3 linked regions of the Mus musculus genome follow. The protein of the gene in region 3 interacts with the protein of the main gene of each other region in a biochemical or structural test. Links are inferred from orthologs where the notes say so. Each region holds a gene or a part of one and is shown on either strand. Other genes may lie near its edges. The genes, in order: Atg9a, Ubc and Ap2m1.

Evidence for each region.
Region 1: the proteins of Ap2m1 (region 3) and Atg9a interact in a biophysical measurement, tested with the Homo sapiens proteins (4 studies listed by BioGRID and IntAct, with this or other methods). The link is inferred for Mus musculus from reciprocal best matches to the Homo sapiens genes AP2M1 and ATG9A.
Region 2: the proteins of Ap2m1 (region 3) and Ubc form a complex in vitro, tested with the Homo sapiens proteins (2 studies listed by BioGRID). The link is inferred for Mus musculus from reciprocal best matches to the Homo sapiens genes AP2M1 and UBC.

What each region holds. Positions count from the first base shown.
Region 1 is NC_000067.6:75,180,106-75,187,865, reverse strand, and holds the end of Atg9a (autophagy-related protein 9A), read left to right. Parts: intron 1-39; coding exon 40-181; intron 182-679; exon of another isoform or gene 680-927; coding exon 928-1,676; intron 1,677-1,761; coding exon 1,762-1,915; intron 1,916-2,020; coding exon 2,021-2,200; intron 2,201-2,564; coding exon 2,565-2,813; intron 2,814-2,998; coding exon 2,999-3,177; intron 3,178-3,292; coding exon 3,293-3,410; intron 3,411-4,749; coding exon 4,750-4,972; intron 4,973-5,128; coding exon 5,129-5,274; intron 5,275-5,934; coding exon 5,935-5,940; coding exon of another isoform or gene 5,941-6,028; 3' UTR 6,029-7,005; downstream 7,006-7,760. Other genes in the region: Abcb6 (ATP-binding cassette sub-family B member 6, mitochondrial), read left to right, coding at 7,748-7,760. UniProt on the Homo sapiens protein: Phospholipid scramblase involved in autophagy by mediating autophagosomal membrane expansion. Cycles between the preautophagosomal structure/phagophore assembly site (PAS) and the cytoplasmic vesicle pool and supplies membrane for the growing autophagosome.
Region 2 is NC_000071.6:125,387,218-125,391,369, reverse strand, and holds the start of Ubc (polyubiquitin-C), read left to right. Parts: upstream 1-1,352; 5' UTR 1,353-1,460; intron 1,461-3,105; 5' UTR 3,106-3,108; coding exon 3,109-4,152.
Region 3 is NC_000082.6:20,536,403-20,544,127, reverse strand, and holds part of Ap2m1 (AP-2 complex subunit mu), read right to left. Parts: intron 6,511-7,725; 5' UTR 6,468-6,510; coding exon 6,394-6,467; intron 4,821-6,393; coding exon 4,555-4,820; intron 3,796-4,554; coding exon 3,713-3,795; intron 3,321-3,712; coding exon 3,315-3,320; intron 3,154-3,314; coding exon 3,018-3,153; intron 2,919-3,017; coding exon 2,777-2,918; intron 2,382-2,776; coding exon 2,262-2,381; intron 2,173-2,261; coding exon 2,037-2,172; intron 1,932-2,036; coding exon 1,834-1,931; intron 1,490-1,833; coding exon 1,378-1,489; intron 818-1,377; coding exon 683-817; 3' UTR 1-682.

The sequences.
Region 1 (7,760 bases), on a different chromosome or scaffold from region 3:
TCCTCAGGGACCCTACTTTATCTCCTTTTTCCATACCAGGATTCAGGAAAATGGCTCTCTTATCACCATCCTGGTCATTGCTGGTGTCTTCTGGATCCACCGGCTTATCAAGTTTATCTATAACATTTGCTGCTATTGGGAGATCCACTCCTTCTACCTACATGCTCTTCGGATCCCAATGGTAAGACCAGAAGTTGAACCATTAGCAACACAGCCCAAGCAATCCTAGAAGGATGATATGTATTCCTGAGCATCACATGTCTATAGCTCTCATTGGCAGGTATGATAGTCAGAGTTCTGTTAATATGCAAAAAAAAAAATCTGAGATGATCAGCATATTTAAAGAGAAAGGATTTTCACAGTTTTGGAGATCCAAGCCTATAATTGGTTGATAATATTGGTTGATCTGGTTGCTTAGGGGCCTGTGGTGAGGAAGTACATCACAGTAAGAGCATACAACAAAGGAAGTCTGTTCACTTCATGGCCACCAGGAAGTGGAGGAAGGCAGGAAGGGGTGGGATCCAAAGCCCCAATTAATCTCATCTAAGAGCAGCCCCTTATTGGCAAAGGACCAAGCCCTTAACACATGGGCTTTTGAGCTGCATCCCAGATCTGAACTGGAACAGCAGGTCAGGAAATATCTTTGCTATTATTAATTTTTTTTTTTTTTTTGAGACAGGGTTTCTCAGTGTAGCCCTGGCTGTCCTGGAACTCACTCTGTAGCCTGGCCTCAAACTCAGAAATCTGCCTGCATTTGCCTCCCAAGTGATGGGATTAAAGGCGTGCGCCATCACTGCCCGCAGGAAGTATCTTTAAGCATACGACTTATATCTGTGTAGGCAAAGTCCTACATCTGTGTTGAACAAAGGGTTTAGCTATACTTTATACATCTCCTATACTTGTCTCTTGTCCACCCTATCCTGGCAGTCTGCCCTTCCATACTGCACATGGCAGGAAGTTCAGGCCCGGATTGTGCAGACGCAGAAAGAGCATCAGATCTGCATCCACAAGCGTGAGCTGACAGAGTTGGACATCTACCATCGCATCCTACGTTTCCAGAACTACATGGTGGCCCTGGTGAACAAATCCCTCCTGCCTCTGCGCTTCCGTCTGCCCGGCCTCGGAGAGGTTGTCTTCTTCACCCGTGGCCTCAAGTACAACTTTGAGCTCATCCTCTTCTGGGGACCCGGCTCTCTGTTTCTCAATGAGTGGAGCCTCAAGGCCGAGTACAAACGTGGAGGGCAACGGCTAGAGCTGGCCCAGCGTCTCAGCAACCGCATCTTGTGGATTGGCATCGCCAACTTCCTGCTGTGTCCCCTCATCCTCATCTGGCAGATCCTCTATGCCTTCTTCAGCTATGCCGAGGTGCTGAAGAGAGAGCCGGGGGCCCTGGGAGCGCGTTGCTGGTCACTCTATGGCCGTTGTTACCTCCGCCACTTCAATGAGCTGGAGCATGAGCTGCAGTCCCGCCTCAACCGAGGCTACAAGCCCGCCTCCAAGTACATGAATTGCTTCTTGTCACCGCTGCTGACTCTGCTGGCCAAGAATGGTGCCTTCTTCGCTGGCTCTATCCTGGCTGTGCTTATTGCCCTCACCATCTATGATGAAGATGTGTTAGCTGTGGAACACGTCCTCACCACGGTCACCCTCCTGGGAGTCACGGTGACTGTGTGCAGGTGTGCCAGGGCGGCGGGTGGGAATAGCAGAGTGGCATTCTGGGAAAGGCTTCTTTCTGTCTCACCATGCGCCCAATCCCACTAGGTCCTTCATCCCAGACCAGCACATGGTGTTCTGCCCCGAGCAGCTGCTCCGAGTGATTCTTGCACACATCCACTACATGCCTGACCACTGGCAGGGTAATGCCCACCGCTCGCAGACCCGGGACGAGTTTGCCCAGCTCTTCCAGTACAAGGCAGTGAGTGGAGCTGGAGTTAGGGCCTGCTAGAGACTGGCTGGTATCTTGGTGATACGGGCTGGGCTGTGTCCTGCTTGCGGGTAACCTCGGCCCCCTCCCTCTTAGGTGTTCATCTTGGAGGAGTTGCTGAGTCCCATCGTCACACCCCTCATTCTCATCTTCTGCCTCCGCCCTCGGGCCCTGGAGATCATAGACTTCTTCCGCAACTTTACGGTCGAGGTCGTGGGTGTGGGAGACACCTGCTCCTTTGCTCAGATGGACGTTCGCCAGCATGGCCATCCTCAGGTACTGGGAGAGGGCAGGGCAGATGGCCAGGGACAATGCTGGCACACAGTAACCTTGGGAAAACTGCAAAAAGCTGCCCTTTCCAAGCCAACAAACACAAAAAGGGTAGCCCCACTTGTGGGCATCCCTGCACCAGAGACACTGTTTAGTCACCAGGAATCTGACTGGATTCCAGCCCTGATTTGAACCATCAGTCACACTCCTTTGAGAAAAAAGTACAGTTCAAGTGACTGACCCAGTATGTGGCCACTCCTGGGGTGGGCATCAGGGCTTTGACAGATATGACAATGCCCTGCTATCACTGTCCTGCCGGAAGGGCTGCTGTGAGTGCTCGGGCCTGATCCCTGTCATCTCCCTTGCATAGTGGCTGTCTGGAGGGCAGACAGAGGCCTCAGTGTACCAGCAAGCCGAGGACGGGAAGACCGAGTTGTCGCTCATGCACTTTGCCATCACCAATCCCGGCTGGCAGCCCCCTCGTGAGAGCACAGCTTTCCTGGGCTTCCTCAAGGAGCAGGTGCAGCGAGATGGAGCAGCTGCTGGCCTGGCCCAGGGTGGCCTGCTCCCCGAGAATGCCCTCTTCACATCCATCCAGTCCTTACAGTCTGAGTCCGAGGTGTGGCTCTGGGGCCTGGGGGATGGTGGGCAGTGGACTGCAGTGTGGGGAACGGCATGGGACACAGGGTGCCAGGTTTCCTCCCTTCAGTCTGAGCGGTTGGGTCCTGAGGGTCAGGACATTGGAGGACCTAGAGGCCTCCCCTGCCCTGAGACTTCTGCTTACCCCATTTTTTCCTCCTACAGCCACTGAGCCTTATTGCAAATGTGGTAGCAGGCTCATCCTGCCGAGGACCCTCACTGTCCAGAGACCTGCAGGGCTCCAGGCACAGGGCTGATGTTGCTTCTGCCCTTCGATCCTTCTCCCCTCTGCAGCCTGGAGCGGCCCCTCAAGGCCGGGTTCCCAGTACCATGACAGGCTCTGGGTGAGTGAGTGAGTGGACGTGGGTCAGCGTGGGAGGGCGTGGCAGGAGCCCACAAAACCTGGTCTAGATCTTGCAAATGTTGATGCCTGCTGTCTGTCTGTGCTGGGAGGGACAGAGTGGATGCCAGGACAGCCAGCTCTGGGAGTAGCGTGTGGGAAGGACAGCTGCAGAGCCTGGTGCTGTCCGAATACGCGTCCACCGAGATGAGCCTGCACGCCCTGTACATGCACCAGGTGAGTGCAGCCGAGGGGCGGGTGTCAGCCCTTCTCTGCCTCTGTGGTTCCACAGAACTCCTTTACTCAGGAGCTGGGGTTAAGACAGGGCTTCTCTGTGTAGCCCTGGCTATTTCTGGAACTCACTCTGTAGACCAGGCTGGCCTTGAACTTACAGAGATCCACCTGCCTCTGCCCCCTGAGTGCTGGAATTAAAGACACACATCACCTTACCGGGCCGTCACATATGTCCTCTTAGTGGCATCTTTAGCCAAGAGTACTCCCATGTTCCCTACTTTTTTCTCCTCCTCCTGCTCTCTCCAAGACTCAGTAAAATCTCCTGTCTCCACTCTCCTGAATTTATTTTTTTCCAGTACTGAGGATTGAGCAGATAAGGCCTTGGGCATGTTAGGTAAGCCCTAAGTTATCTCCACAGCCTTCCTTTGCTTATTATTCTGAGAACTATTTTCACTTAGTTACCTAGGCTGACCTTGAACTTACTGTGTAGCCAGGCTGGGTTTGAACATGTGATCCCACTTCCAAACAGCTGGGGTTGCAGGCATGTGCCTCCAGATCCAGCCCTGCCTCAGACCTTGACCCTTCCCTTCCTTTCCCTTCTCCTCTCCTTTCTCCCTCCCTTTCTTCCCCACCCACCTTGGCTTTTTAAAACAGAGTCTGACTCTTGACTATGTAAGCCAGGCTGGCCTCAGTCCTGCTACCTCATGTTTCAGTGTCACACACAGCTGCCTACTGACTTTTCTTGTTCTGTTTTTATCCATAGCATCTGGTGCTATCTGACATTTTGGGGCTTTGTCTTCATTTAATAGTTTATGGTCTATTTTTCCTTACAACCACCACCACTAGTGTAAAAGCCTCACAAAGACTGGCAATTCTATTTGTTCATTGCTGTGTTCTGAGTACCTAAAATAATACCCGGCACCGAGACCCTCTGTTAACTTGTTCTTTGATTCAAGGAGTGGGTAAAATGAGGGCCAGAGATGTAGGTCACTTAGTAGACTGCTTGCCCTGTATGTACAGGACCCTGGGGTCCATTCCCAGAACTACCTAAACATCTGTAATCCCAGGGGAGATGAAGTCAGATCAGAAATTCAAGGTCATTCTCAACTACCCATTGAGTTCAGGGTCAGCCTGAGCTACTCGGAAGCTTTTCCAGGGGTCTCCTGAGAATGAGATCCATAGAGCAGCACACAGCTAATGTACACTACTAACATCTGAGATGCAGTGAGTCTAGGTTCCTAGGTGAGGGTTTGTGAGTGGGAATTGAAGATGCTTCAGTGGTCGCAGCTGTTTCAGACAGACATCCTTCTGCCCCCGACTAATCAGCCCCCCACTTCTCCAGCTCCACAAGCAGCAGACCCAGGCTGAGCCCGAGCGGCATGTGTGGCACCGCCGGGAGAGTGATGAGAGTGGAGAGAGTGCCCCTGAAGAGGGGGGAGAGGGTGCCCGGGCCCCCCAACCCATCCCCCGCTCGGCCAGCTATCCCTGTGCTACACCCCGGCCTGGAGCACCTGAGACCACCGCCCTGCATGGGGGCTTCCAGAGGCGCTACGGGGGCATCACAGGTATCCAGCTGGGAACACAGTAGCAAACAGGTTTCGGGGAAGGACGGTTCTCTCTAAGACGCAAGAGACCATCAGGATGGGGTGCAAGGAGACTAAGCCTCCAAGTGGTCCTCAGAACCTTCCCACTGTGCCTTGTGTTCTTGTTTCTCTCTGTAGATCCTGGCACAGTGCCCCGTGGCCCCTCTCACTTCTCCAGGCTGCCCCTGGGAGGATGGGCAGAAGATGGCCAGCCAGCATCAAGGCACCCAGAGCCGGTGCCAGAGGAGGGCTCAGAGGATGAACTCCCCCCTCAAGTGCACAAGGTAAAGGCTGTGAGGCCAAGAACCACTGCCAGAAGTGGTGACTTCCAGTGAAGACCAGCTCCTCCTGTGAAGGAGCGTGTCTCCCACTCCTCCATGCTCTTGTCTACTCTCCAGACGGCTGGAGGGATGGCTCAGTGCCTAAGAACACTGGGGGCTCTTCCAGAGGACCCAGGTTCGTTTTCCAGCACCCACACAGTGGCTCACCACCGTCTGTAACCCCAGCCCCAGGGGGTCAGATGCCATCTTCTGGTCTTCAAAAGTACTGCACACACACATGATTCAGACTTTTTTTTTTTTTTTTTTTTTTTTTTGGTTTATCTAGACAGTGTTTCTCTGTGTAGCCCTGGCTGTCCTGGAACTCACTTTGTAGACCAGGCTGGCCTTGAACTCAGAAATCCACCTGCTTCTGCCTACTGAGGGCTGGGATTAAAGGCGTGAGCCACCACAGCCGGCTGATTCAGACTTCGATGCAGACAAAACACTCATGCACAAATACATTTTTGAAAAGCAAAAAACCCACTTTCTTCTTTTTACTGCTCTGAAGTTCAAGACTTAACTTCCCTAGCTTCCAGCGTTTTCTTTCCTTTATTTCTAGATTCCTCTGGGGCAAGACGATAGCTGAAGACTATCTGTACTACCGGTCTTTCCTTTCCTCCACAGGTATAGGCAAGGCGGTAGCTGGTTCCCATGCTCCAGGATGGAGGTGGCAGCTGCCCTGCCATCCCTTCTGTCTGCCATGAGAGGGACTCTCTGAGTGTCGCCTGGCCCCACGTGTGGTGTTTTGTGTGTTCCTGCCTGGCCAAGGGAGGTGCCAATGCTGGGCTTACCATAGTCCAGGAAGAATATGAGGACTAGGGGCACACAAGAGTCTAGCTTCGTCTCCAGGACTCCCTTGGCTCAGAGTGTGGTGCTAGAAACTGGTCCCCAGCCCAGTCCCAGTACTGCCATCTTTGCATCCACCCCTGCAAGTCTCCAGAGGGCTTCCTGCCACAGAAGTGCTGCCAAGCAGAAGAACCTGTGCCAACTGTGGAGTGGGGAGGCAGGGCCTGAACCCTCAATCCCTGCAGCCTAGCCTCCCCACCCTCCAGAACCTGGAATAGCTGAGCAGCTCAGGCTGTGGCCCTTACCTCCAGTCCTCACCTCAACCTGCGCTGCAGCCTCCCTCCCCCCTGCACATCACTGGCATGTGTGCTGCTTGACCACCCCCCCTTCTGTTCACCTGCCCCCCTTCTGTTTGGCTTTGGCTTTTTGTTGGGGTGAGAGCCCTAGCTCCCAGCTCCCCTCACTATCTTTTGACACTAAGATGGAAGGTTACTAAGTTGCAGGAACAGGATGAAAATTCTTTATTACCCTCTTCAACTTTTAGGACGAGCACTTGGGAGTGTGAGGCCTTCCTGGCTGCTTCTATGTAGTCCTACCACCTGCACAGAGGGGCTGGCAGGGCAGAAGTGTGACCTCAGTTATATATACATCCCAGCTCTGCCCAGTATCCCTCACTTACCAAGAGGAGAATGGAGGGATAATGGACTCACCCTAGCCTAGGGCTTCGACATTGCATGCTGGGATCCAGCTCCTACCCTTCCTGCACTCCCTTCCCCAGTTCTGCTCAGCTCAGCTGTGGGAGGTAAACTTAAGCTGAAGGTGGCGGACTCTACTGTCGCAGGCCACAGCAGACAGGGTGGGAGCCCTGTACAGCTTGATAACCCTTAATAAAGAAGGGACTTTGATCTGGTTGTGGCATCTTTTTTTTTCCCCCACGCAGCAGTTTGGGGGGGGGGGGGGGGGTCTTAGGACTGTAAAAGAGTCCTGGCCGGGAGGCTTGGGAAACAAGTACGCCTGCAGGACCACGGGAACAGAACTAGGACTCAGAGAAGAGCTGTTTCTAGTGTGCTTCAGTAGCTTGATAATGTGTGAAGCCCTGAGTTCGTTCTTTAGCACTATAATAGAGGGAACTGAAGCAGGTTAGAGACCAGGGAGGCCTCGGTGTAATGCCTTTATAAAGGGCGGGGGTGGAGGGTGGGGAGTGCAAATTCGGACGCACTACTCTGTGGAGGTCAAAGTCTCCAGTCAGATTCAGGTTAGAGTTCCCGCCTTGGACATGTGACCCAGTCGGTTCTCAGCCCTATTTGTGTTCCTTACCCTTGGCCAATGGGAACCCTGGATAGATCTGGTGGGCGGGGCCGCTGCCGTAAAGGACCCAACATTTTTGTGCGGCGGCTCCGAGCCTTAGGGTCCCAGCTGCTAGCGAGTGGGAACCGGCAAGCACGGCGTACGTGGCTTGCGTGAGTATGCGTGGTAGCGGCGCGTGCGTGAAGAGAGTGGGCAGTGTAGCAGGTCCACGTGCGTCCCTTCCCGCGACCCAAGCGGCGTAGCTCCATGTCCCAGGACACCCTGGCATCTGCGGCCCTCTCTGAAGGGTCAGCCCGACTCTTTGTGCAGTGACCTCAAGTTCAGCCAGCAGCCACACATCGCCATGGTGACTGTGG
Region 2 (4,152 bases), on a different chromosome or scaffold from region 3:
GCTACATATAGGAACCCTGTCTCAAAAAAACTCAAAAAATGCTGAGATTAAAGGCATTTAATAGTGTGTGTCCATCTAAGTGTGTGCCACATGTATGTGAAAGTGTCCCTAGGGACATTGGACCCTCCTGAAGCTGGAGTCACAAGCTAGCTGCCTGACAGGGTTGCTGGGTATTGAATTCATGTACTCTGGAAAAAGACCTGTTCCTACTGGGGAGCCATCTCTCCCCATCAGGGATTCAATTCTTACCTTCTAAGGTCTTAGGCCTTACATTTCAAAAACCTGAGCTGGGCAGTGGTGGCGCAGGCCTTTAATCCCAGCACTTTGGAGGCAGAGGCAGGTGGATTTCTGAGTTCGGGGCCAGCCTGGTCTACAAAGTGAGTTCCAGGACAGTCAGGGCTACACAGAGAAACCCTGTCTCAAAAAACCAAAAAAAAAAAAACAAAACAAAACAAAACAAAAAAAACCCTGAATAATTTGATTCGTATAAGTGGGATATATGCTTGCTGTAATCTGAACATTGTACTACACGTGCACATTTGTGCTTTTTTGTTTTTGTGGGGGTTTTTTGTTTGGTTTTTGGTTTTTCAAGTCAAGTGTAGCCCTGGCCATTCTGGAACTTGATCTGTAGACCATACTTGGGAGGCAGAGGCAGGAGGACCTATATAAACTTGAGACCAGCCTGGTCTACATAGCATATTCCAGGACAGGCAGGGCTACACAGAGAAACCCCCATCTGAACAACAAAAATTTAAAAATCAGGGCTTCAGTGGGTTCAGTCTCAGAATATGAACAACAAATATGAACAACATTTGGAAATTTTGACCTTTACTTAGTGACAAGCACATAGAAAACATAGAACCTTCTCGAATCCAAGGACACAAGGTTTAGGAAAAATCTGGAAAGATCAGGTTCTGCTGGGCTTCAGATCTAATGCCAACAGTTTTCAAGAACTGTGTAGACTGTCTGCTTTCCTTGACAAACTCAGATTCGTTTTTCCAAATCGGGGAGAGATTCCCTCCTTCGTATTTTTTTTTTTTAAATTTATTAAAAACCCTTTGTCATTTTCCTTGTTAGGAGATTTGCACAGTCATCCACCCTGTCACTGTGCCAAAACAGTGAGGGCTGGGCATAGTGACCCGCCGGGGATGAGGGGATTGAGGAGGCGAGGTCACCAATGGGATCCCAGTGTGACAGGAGCCAAAGCCCTGGGTCCCCCTAGCGCGGAAAGAAAACAGGGGGGGTGGGGGGTGGTGGCCTGACTAGGGGCGCCAGGCCGCGAAGCCGCAGGGCGCCTGCGCCAAGGCCCGCTCCGGCCTCAGTGATCCCAGCCGTGTTTTCGTGCCGATCGTCTCACGCGCGCTGATCCCTCCGCGGAGTCGCCCGAGGTCACAGCCCTGCCCTCCCACACAAAGCCCCTCAATCTCTGGACGCCACCGTGAAACAACTCCGTGAGAGAGGTACCTTGATAGTTTTAGCCTGTCGCTTTCGCTGCCGAGACTGGACCCGGCGTTACAAAGTAGTCCCTGACCGCATTGCCCGCGGAGGGACCGCGCGGAAGGGGGGGGGCGGGGCTTCGGTGACTATATAAAGAGACGCCGGGCGTGCCGCAGCTAGTTCCGTGGAGACTGCGAGTTCCGTCTGCTGTGTGAGGACTGCCGCCACCACCGCTGGTGAGGAGAAAGCCGCCGCACCCGGTCGGGGACGGGAGGCTGGAGGCGAGACGGGGCGAGAGGCAGCCCCGCGGCCCAGACGTTTGGTTTCCGTGGCCCGCGCGGACCGCGGCTGCCCCGAGGCAGAGGACTGGGCGGCAAGATGGCGGCCAGATGGAAGCCTGAGGGGGAAGACGCGGGGCTCTGACGCGCAGGACGAGGTTGGGGGAGGAAAAAGGCCCGCGAGGCCGCTGCCCTCCGGTTAAGCCGGGGACGTCGGAGACTGTGGGGTGGGGACTGAATTAGGGTTGCGCGCCGTAGGAGCCTCTGCTGTGAGAGCCGTGGATATTGGGCTGGCCCGAGAGGTCGATTGGCCCGGCGTTCGTCCGTTCGTTTGCTGAAAGACGGAAGTGCGATCGAGACCGGAAGGGGGTTGGGCGGCGGTTCAGCCTGCCTGGCCTGCCGCCCCCTGTGACGTCGCGGGTTGCGTGGCCTCCTAATGGATAGTGACGTCACTATCTTGACTTTAGCTTTCCCTCGGTTGTAGGACAGGGTTTGGGTCTCGGCCTCCGGTAGCCTCTCCAGAGTAAACAGGAACCGGAAATTCAGAGGGGAAATGTGAGCCATTCTTGTCCTGTTTCGTTTTAAGAATGTCGCTGTACAACTATGACTACTGAAACTTTTGGGGGGGGGGTTCGAGACGGTTTCTCTATGTAGTCCTGGCTGTCCCGCATCTCACTCTGTAGATCAGGCTGGCCTCGAACCCAGAAATCCTCCTGCCTCTGCCTCCCAAGTGTTGGGACGAAAGGCACCACCATTGTCCTGCGACAAGGGTGTTTTTTTTTAAACTGTCAAAATCTCTGCCTCTACCACCCCATGTGATGAGGTCCAAGGCCAGTACCACCACTCCAGACTAATTTTAATCGTTCAGACAAAAGTTTGGTGTTCTTTTGGGGGAAGGAGAGTTGAGGCAGGATTACACTGTCTCTGGCTGACCTTCCAGTTAGAGATCTGCCCACCTCAGTGTCCCCAGTGCTGAGGTCAGCGATAGGCATGGGCTCAGACTTAGTTTTGCAGTAGTAACTTGCTATATTACCATTCTGAAACTGAATCCGGGACTGCTGTGGTTTCATAACCTCCCAGAGGTCAGGCTTTTCTGCAAACTGTTCAAATAGACAGAAATTGACTTTCAGCTGTTGGTATACTGAAGTCTCCATCCTGTAAATTTGGTAATACAAAAAGACTCACCATGCCGAGGTTTCTTAACTTTGTTAGTCAACAATCTTATTTTCTTGATGGTTTTTCGGGGTGGGGGGATTGGATTCAAGACAGAATCTGTGTAGATAGACCTTGCTATTTAGACTTATAGCATCCAGTTGACAAATGTTGATGCCATCCCACAAATATTTGTGTCATTCCTGACCTGTGAATTGTTTTGTATATTTTGTGACAGACGATGCAGATCTTTGTGAAAACCTTAACTGGTAAGACCATCACCCTGGAGGTCGAGCCCAGTGACACCATTGAGAATGTCAAGGCAAAGATCCAGGACAAGGAGGGCATCCCCCCTGACCAGCAGAGGCTGATCTTTGCAGGCAAGCAGCTGGAAGATGGCCGCACCCTGTCAGACTACAACATCCAGAAAGAGTCCACCCTGCACCTGGTCCTTCGCCTCAGAGGTGGCATGCAGATCTTTGTGAAGACCCTGACAGGCAAGACCATCACCCTGGAGGTCGAGCCCAGTGACACCATAGAGAATGTCAAGGCAAAGATCCAGGACAAGGAGGGCATCCCCCCTGACCAGCAGAGGCTGATCTTTGCAGGCAAGCAGCTGGAAGATGGCCGCACCCTGTCAGACTACAACATCCAGAAAGAGTCCACCCTGCACCTGGTCCTTCGCCTCAGAGGTGGGATGCAGATCTTTGTGAAGACCCTGACAGGCAAGACCATCACCCTGGAGGTCGAGCCCAGTGACACCATAGAGAATGTCAAGGCAAAGATCCAGGACAAGGAGGGCATCCCCCCTGACCAGCAGAGGCTGATCTTTGCAGGCAAGCAGCTGGAAGATGGCCGCACCCTGTCAGACTACAACATCCAGAAAGAGTCCACCCTGCACCTGGTCCTTCGCCTCAGAGGTGGCATGCAGATCTTTGTGAAGACCCTGACAGGCAAGACCATCACCCTGGAGGTCGAGCCCAGTGACACCATTGAGAATGTCAAGGCAAAGATCCAGGACAAGGAGGGCATCCCCCCTGACCAGCAGAGGCTGATCTTTGCAGGCAAGCAGCTGGAAGATGGCCGCACCCTGTCAGACTACAACATCCAGAAAGAGTCCACCCTGCACTTAGTCCTTCGCCTCAGAGGTGGGATGCAGATCTTTGTGAAGACCCTGACAGGCAAAACCATCACCCTGGAGGTCGAGCCCAGTGACACCATTGAGAATGTCAAGGCAAAGATCCAGGACAAGGAGGGCATCCCCCCTGACCAGCAGAGGCTGATC
Region 3 (7,725 bases):
GGGCAGTCTGGTCTACATAGTGATTTCTAGGTCAGCCAGAGCTACAAGCAGCAAGACCCAAACAAAACAAAGTCTGGCATGGTGGTGTACACTTTAATCTCAGCACTCAGGAAGTAGATCTCCTGAGCCTACACACAGGTTCCAGGACAGCCAGAACTGCATGGAGTAATAATAGTCCCGTCAGACCCTCTGCGGGCCCCATTAACATTTAGCCAGCAACTCCACTCTATTGTTTATTGGGTTTGTAACTGGACAAAGTCACACGTGTACAAAACGAAGCTCATACTATCCCAAAGCAGAGTGGGGACTAAAGACTGGGGATCTGTTACTGGCCTTTGGGGAAGCTCTGAGGTGAGGGGTAGTCAACCTTCCCACTGCAGAGGTGTGGCCACAGGGGTAGAGAGAAGAGGAGAGCACCTGGCTTTGGTCACAAAACTCAGGGCCTGGCGCTAAGCCAGGACAGACAGACGGAAGAGAAGCCTCAAAAACCACCCTCCCAGGAAGCCAGGCACTACCTGACCAGTTCCACTGTGGTGTGGCTGGTTCAGACTTATACTCAGGGGCTATTGGAAAGGAAAGGCAGCAGAGCAGGACGGAGGAACGACACTGGTGAGTGGTCACTAGGGGTACTTGGACCTGTGGGAAGGGTGGGTAGGGAGGTGGGCCAGCTGCAACTAGGCAGCTAGCAGCGGGTTTCATAAATGCCACTGCGGCCAATGTATCGCACCCATTTGATGACATCATGGTCGCTGTAGTTCAGCTTCGGTTCGAATACCTTCAAGTAGCGCACCTTGAGGCCAGAAGGCGCGAATGGCACCTGAGCAGAGGACAGCTCCAGTTAGGAATATGGCCCTTCTATCACAGTACTCTGGCAAATTCCATGGTTCACCCACCCTATCTACCACAGGTGTTCTTGAATGACTGGTGTGGAGGGAATTCACTAGGAGACTACCACGTGAAGAGAGTTACTAGGAATCAGGACACATCTGAAGCTGAGCCCAGTTGTGAGGATAAAACTATTGCTCTAATCCTTAGGTTGCCAGAGCACTATCTCTGAACTACTTATCCCAGAGAACTACCACTGAACATACTTATCCCTGCCAATGCTGTGGACTTGAAAATAAAGTGGAGAAAATGATGTGTCTTATTCACACAAAGCAAATGTTTCTCAAAAACTATTTTGTGACAAATCAAATAGTCAAAAGCTTTTGGTCAGTTTAAACACCAATTTCTATTAAAAGGGGATGGGTCTATCAATTCAAGACATTTCCCAACCTAGGCCCAGTTCTCTTATTCCTAAGAAGTAGAGTCTAATCAAAATGATCAGAGAGTCTCCCATCACACCCAGCCATTGCGCTATACCCCTCCTCTGCCTACCTCAAAGTTCATGGAAATGGGGGGCCGAGCCCATTTCTTCTTATCGTTGGTGGGCAGGAGCTCAATCTCTGCGCTGATCTGGGATTCCTTCATGCCTGCCATGCGCTTGATCCTAGGAACACAGAGGGAATGGGCAGCAGGAGGCTGCAGTAGTTACTCCTTCAGTACCCGGAGCTGCAGTTTCTCCCTCACCCAGACTGTACGCTTTAGACACAAGTCGACAAGGGCCAACGGGAATATCTTGAAAACTAGACACACGTGCTCCTCAAGTGCATGAGAGATGGAGCACACACACACACACACACACACACACACAAACACACACACACACACACAGGCTCCTGGACAAGCATGCACTCTTTTCTCACCCTATAACCCACACAGAGGACAGGTCAAACTTAACCGGAAGGTACACTATGACGCCTTGAGCCTGCCTGTGGCCTCCTGAAGACTCACTTCCATACAATGGCGTTCTCGCTGGCCTTGTACTTGGCCTTCCCCTTCATGCAGATCACCTGTACCCCGCTTGTGTTCAATGGAGTCGGGATCCTCACCTAGGAGTGACACACCCGTCAGTGAGCTCTGGGGAGACCTGGATCATCTATCTGCCTTTTCTTCCCCGAGATAGGTGTTTCACTCTCCAAGTCTCCAGTCCTCACCTCAATCTTCTGGGCCAGAAGTGAGGGCTTGAAGTTGGACTTGATGACCACCTTGACCTCCAGTTTGGTGCGCCCCACCTCCCGCACCAATGGGATCACCCGGAAAGGAAGGATGATGTCCTTGGTAGTACGGTATCTTTGGAGGAGAGAACACATGTGATAGCACAGGGCCAGCCCTACTCTCTTCCAGATGCACCCCCTGCCTCCTCCACACCCCCATGGCACCTCATGAGTTCAAACTCTCCGTCGGGAGGGATGAAGCTGATGCTCCGCTCAGAGTCAAACTTGCTGAGTCGCACACACTGGTGGAAGGTGCAGTCATCAATGGCGATCGACTGCTTACCACTGTAAACGGAAGCAGAGCTCAAATAGGTACATGTCAGATTAACAGACCATGCCAGAGCAGGCTAGCCACACAGATTATGGGAAGCTTCCAGAACACAGCTTTCTGACTTGGAAATCCCTGCCCTGCAGTTTGAGGTGTGGGAGAGCCTCTGGGTTCCTTATCACCTGAGAACTTTGTTGCTGGGGATCAAACAAAAAAAGCGTGCTCTCCAAGGACAAAGACAGTCCCTCCATGCCTTATCGTCAATCACAAGACTAACTGGCCAAGGATGACTTGGAAAGACAGTTAACAATTCCAGAAATGAACTCCAAAGGGAATCTGGGTTCACTAGGCCTCACTGGATTCTCAAAGGCTTGCTCATCCTTGTGTCCCTTGAGCTCCCAGACACCGGTACCTCTTGCTTGTTTCATCAGCTGTGCCTTTGCCCTGCTTTTCTATGACAATCTTGTCATTCATTCCAAACTTGCACTCAGGCATGCCACTCAGGTAACTCTTCATCACCACCCGGCCTGACACATGGGCACTCAGCACCTGCCCTGGTGACAGAACAGAGAAACAGGGAGCAGCTGAGCCACGCCGACAGGCCAGGACCTACCCACCCCCAATCCCCGGTCTCATCATGAGAAGACACTTACCCTGTGGGGACATAAGCAGGTTCACACTCTCCAGAACATCTAGGAAGAGTTCATTCCGGCGATACTTGATGCCTTCTCGCCGCCAGCCAATCTGCCCGGTCACCTGGCTGGTGATCTGGGACTGTTCTTCCTTCGTCTATATGGGATAAAGGTGGCCAATGACCTCATCCCTTTCCCCGTCCCATTACCCTCTGCCCACTGTATCACGTCACTCTCCCTCCTTCCTCACAACCCTTACAGGGCAGGATCTGCAGAACAGAGTGAAGCTGCAGTGGGAGAAGTGAGGGAACAACTTACCTGATGCTAGAAGCCGCAGAGCCAGCAAGGGGCCAACACAACAGGAAGCAGCATGGTAAGCAAACAAAGGGAGAAAGCGATAAGGCTCAAGTCTGAGAGGAGAGCCCACGTGCTTTTCTGAGGAACACAAGGCCTGAAGAGCAGACACACCCCTGTCCCCCGTGTAGAAGAAACCAACTGAGCTGTATTCCTGGTAATAGAGATGCTGAGTTGGCAGCTTCTGGGGTAGGAGAGCTAGCTACCCAGAGCAAAAAAGGCCTGCAGTCATGGTAGGAGGGCTGAGGCCAGCACTTCCTGTCAAGGGCAAGCTCATGAGTCAGCTAGAACAAGGCCAGGGATCAATAGGAAGGAAAGGAGTTTGGGGTCCACCCTGTGTGCTATACAATTAACTCAAGTACCTGACTCTTGATACCCTGCTGGGTGATGAAGGTTTTCAGTGCACCTGTCTCTGAGTTCTGTGGGTAGCCAAAGTCCAGAATCTCTGTAAAAAGAAGGGAATTACAGCCTGGCAGTGAGGTATATGCCTTTAATCCTAGAAATCAGGAGGCAGAGGCAGGTGGCCGAGTTCAAGGCCAGCCTGGTCTACAGAGCCCGTTCTAGTACAGCAAGGCTACACAGAGAAACCCTGTTTCAATAACACAAAACAAAAAAACAAAAAAAGAAGGGAATTACTAGTTTCTGGAGAAAACAAAAGATTCCTTCCTTCCAGTCCCTCCTCTGGCCCGGATATCCCTGCCTAGAACATAGAACAGGTCCTGGTGCTGTACAGAATCACCTACAGCCAAGTCTTCTAGCTTAGAGCACTCAGCTTAGGATTTGTTCTTCATACGAAAATACAACTTTTTTCTTCAAATGTAAAAAAGAAAAATCATGAAAGAGTCACATGGTCAGTGAGTGGGTAAGAGGATTAAAAAAACCCTGAGCCCTCCTTTTCTCCAGAAAACAGATGGTGGTGAAAGGGAAGTCGTCACAGATACTACAAGAGGAAAGAGGACAACCAAGGGACCTACAGGACTTCCTCTTCTCCAGGCTCTGAGGGAGTGTTGAGATAAGAGTTGAGTTCAGTTTGTGAAGATTTTAGGCTAATACAGGTGGCTTGGCCACCAAACCCCACAGTCAGGTTCCTAGCCCCAGCAAAGACTAAAACTTCGTGCTGGCCTATTTTCATATTCTACTCTAAAACAAGACCCTCTCAGTTAGGCCCCTCCCCACAGTGGCATTTAATCCTCCAATGTCTCACCATCCAGCAGCTCGTATATGAGCACAAAATTGTTCTTGATGTTCTCCTCGCTGATTTTGCCAAAGTAAGCAGCCATTACATCACACATCTTGTAGAGGAATTCGAAGACCATGGCAGCATTGACATTCTGCTTGGTGACTGCGGCCAGCCAGATGTTGGACCGCTTAACATGGAAGAAGCTGGTGCGAGCGATGTTTGTGACAGGGCTGCGCACCTGCTGCCGTGCATGAATGACATTGACCCGAAAGGCATCCACAGCATTCCTCCTAAGGGAAAAGATGCAAAGAGGCAATTCAGTATTTAGGCAGACCTCACCCCCTGAGGATCACCTACAGATGCTGGCTGCCCCACCCTCCACACCACTGAAATCTGACATATATTCATAAGTCAAGGCCTAAACCACTAGGGCTCCCTTCTTATACCACCTGCAGGGTCCTGGGAGAAGGTTCTGCACTGGCTTGCTACCTAAAGGGGAACTCAAATGATAATAACGGGAAGAGTGCCTGTAGTGTTAATAAACTGACTCCTGGGCCTGACTTGCTTTCCCAGATACACCCCAGCTGTCCCCACTCTAGCTTTCCAGGAAGTTCCAGGCCTGCAGAGAAAGAGATCTCTGTTGGGTCCATCAGTGGGGAAAGCTAACTCTTCAGGGAGTTGAATAAAACTAGTATGACCTTGGAAGAGTCTACTCTAAAGGGTGAGAGGGGCTATAGACTGTGCCACCCACTTCTTTTCTAAGGTCTGACTTCTGAAGGGGATGAAAAATGATGAAGGAAAACAATTTGGGGGGGCAGGACCCCCTGTACCTGAGCGGCAGCTTCACAGGCTGCTTACCTATTGCTACATCAGCCAATGAGATGGGATGAGAGAAATGACGTCAGCAAGGAGGAGATTGACAGCAAGGAGAGAGAGGGTTAGACGACACACAACACACCAAGGTGGGCAGCACATACCATGAGGGAGAAGCAGACAAGACAGGCAACAGGTAGAGAGCACGCTAAGGCATGCAGGGTGCCATGTGGCCCAGCTGTGGCATAAACCAGGACCATCCAGGCTGGGAGTAGCAGGAAGGAGTGGAACCAGCCAGGTTCACTTAGGCTAGGCACTGCCACAAACTAAGTCTAGGTTAGCTTTACCACCAAAAAATGGATACAGCCACACCAAGCTAGCCCATTAGCCAGGGAGGCAAGAAGGTAGGAGAGCTACCATAGGTCTATTCTGAGACTATTTATCTCAAGCTCTTTTGAGAAAGAAAACCAAGGCAGGAAGAAACAGAAGAGCCTAGCCTCAGGCTAGACAGTGGAGGATCTCTTAGCAAGCAGCCAGAGTGTGAGGCAGAGTGAGAAGTGAGACTTTAGGAGGTCTTAGGAGCTGTCCAGCTCCACCCAGATGAGCTACAAAGGCAGCATGACCCGCAGAGCACAGTAAGCCGGTTCACAACCAGGGAGGGCCCAGGAGAACTGAAAACAGCTGAGTCAGCAGACTACAGAGAGGTTTTAAGGGGATCTAGGGAAGGCTCTCAATATGAGAAGGATTTGAAAGCAAGATTTAGATGGATTAGTATCTCCACACACACACACTAACTACACCCACTGGAGAGAGTGCTCCCTTCTAAAAGGAAGACCAGGCAAAAGCACCTGGTCTTCAGCCACCAGACCTACCCCAAAGACACAGGGAGCAGGAAGGGCAGGGATTCCTAACCCTAGGGGGTGGAGGTGTCATTCCGAGGCCTGGAGCCTAGCAGCTAGGCCAGTGCCCAATGGGAACCAGGCTATATTGCATGCTCAGGCTGAGGCAACAGGGAGGTTGAAACACAGCATGCTCAGTCAAGGGACTTACCCGATGTCATCTCTGTAGACCCGGGAGATAAGCACCTCCCCCTTGTGATTATAGATGAATAAGCCTCCGATCATGGTGGCAGCTCAGTCTCTGTGACCCATTGCTCTGAGAACAGACCTAGGTAGGAAAGGGGAGGGGGGATTAGGGAAAGGGGAAATCTTTAGAACCCGTCCACGCCAATGGGGCTGTACAGGCCCGCCTTGTTTCCTGACTCAGTCCTCTAGCAAGTGACTCCCAAGTCCTCCGCAGCCCTCCCGAGGCTCCAGTTCCTGTTTTTCCACACTGGATAGGGGACAGCACTTTAAGAGTGTGAGGCCCGGGGATTTAGGCCATTTTTATCCAGCCTTTTCTGAGGGCTGAGGAAAGTAACCACAAGGCCGAGCTCAGCCCCCTACTGTGCACTCTCACTCCTGCTGCTTCCAGTGAGTCACAGAGAAGGCCTGCCTGCAGATGCAGGAATGGCGTGGCGGGAGGGATTACTCTAGTTGGCTTGAGCCTGGGCCTGCCACCAGGCATAACCTTTAGAGCAAGCATTACCCTTCCAAGAAGGCAACGGAGCATGACCCTCTAGAAGTCTACACATTCCAGGAAAGGGTGTGCAGGGTGAGGTGGGGCTGGGAGGGAAGAGGCCCTTAGGCTCTAACACAGAGCCAGGAAGGTGGCTGAAGCAGGCACATCTTTCCCAGGCAGAGAGATAAGCAGACAAAGGAACAGAGGCCCGCTTAATAAGTTCTTTAAAAGATTTCATTTTTACCGACACACAGGTACATGCCAGTGTGCTGTATGTGTGGAAGCTAGGTGTTAGACTGAACACTGCCCTCCACCCCTCAAGCCTGAGTTAGGGTGGTACTGAGCCAAATGACATGTGCCGGGACCTGAACTCAGGTTTTCTGGAAAAGCAGTAAGAACTCTTCAATGCTGAGCCCCTTTTACAGTTATTTCTGGTTACTGTCTTTTCAAAATTTCTAAGTGTGACAAAAATTAGGTCTGTATGTAGTAGCATTAATCCTGCCATCTAAATTGTGTCTCCAAATCTGCCAAGTCAGTCACTTCTGGCCTGGTGTTTACCAAGCAATGGGCAGGGATAACAGAATGCCTCGACTGCCCAAATTATTTTGGTCAAAATTAAGGTAGAATATTTGAGTAACGGGGTTAATCTGGTTCTAGATTTCTGGATTAGTCCAGATATTAATTTCACTGAGGTTAGTTTAACAGACTTTTTGAAACTGAAAAGTTAACCCTTGAAGCCCAGTGACAAGTCCAAAGAAGGTGAGAAAGAAAATGCAAAATGGAGGTTGAGCGCTGAGCAAAGGACCAAGTCCACAGGTATCA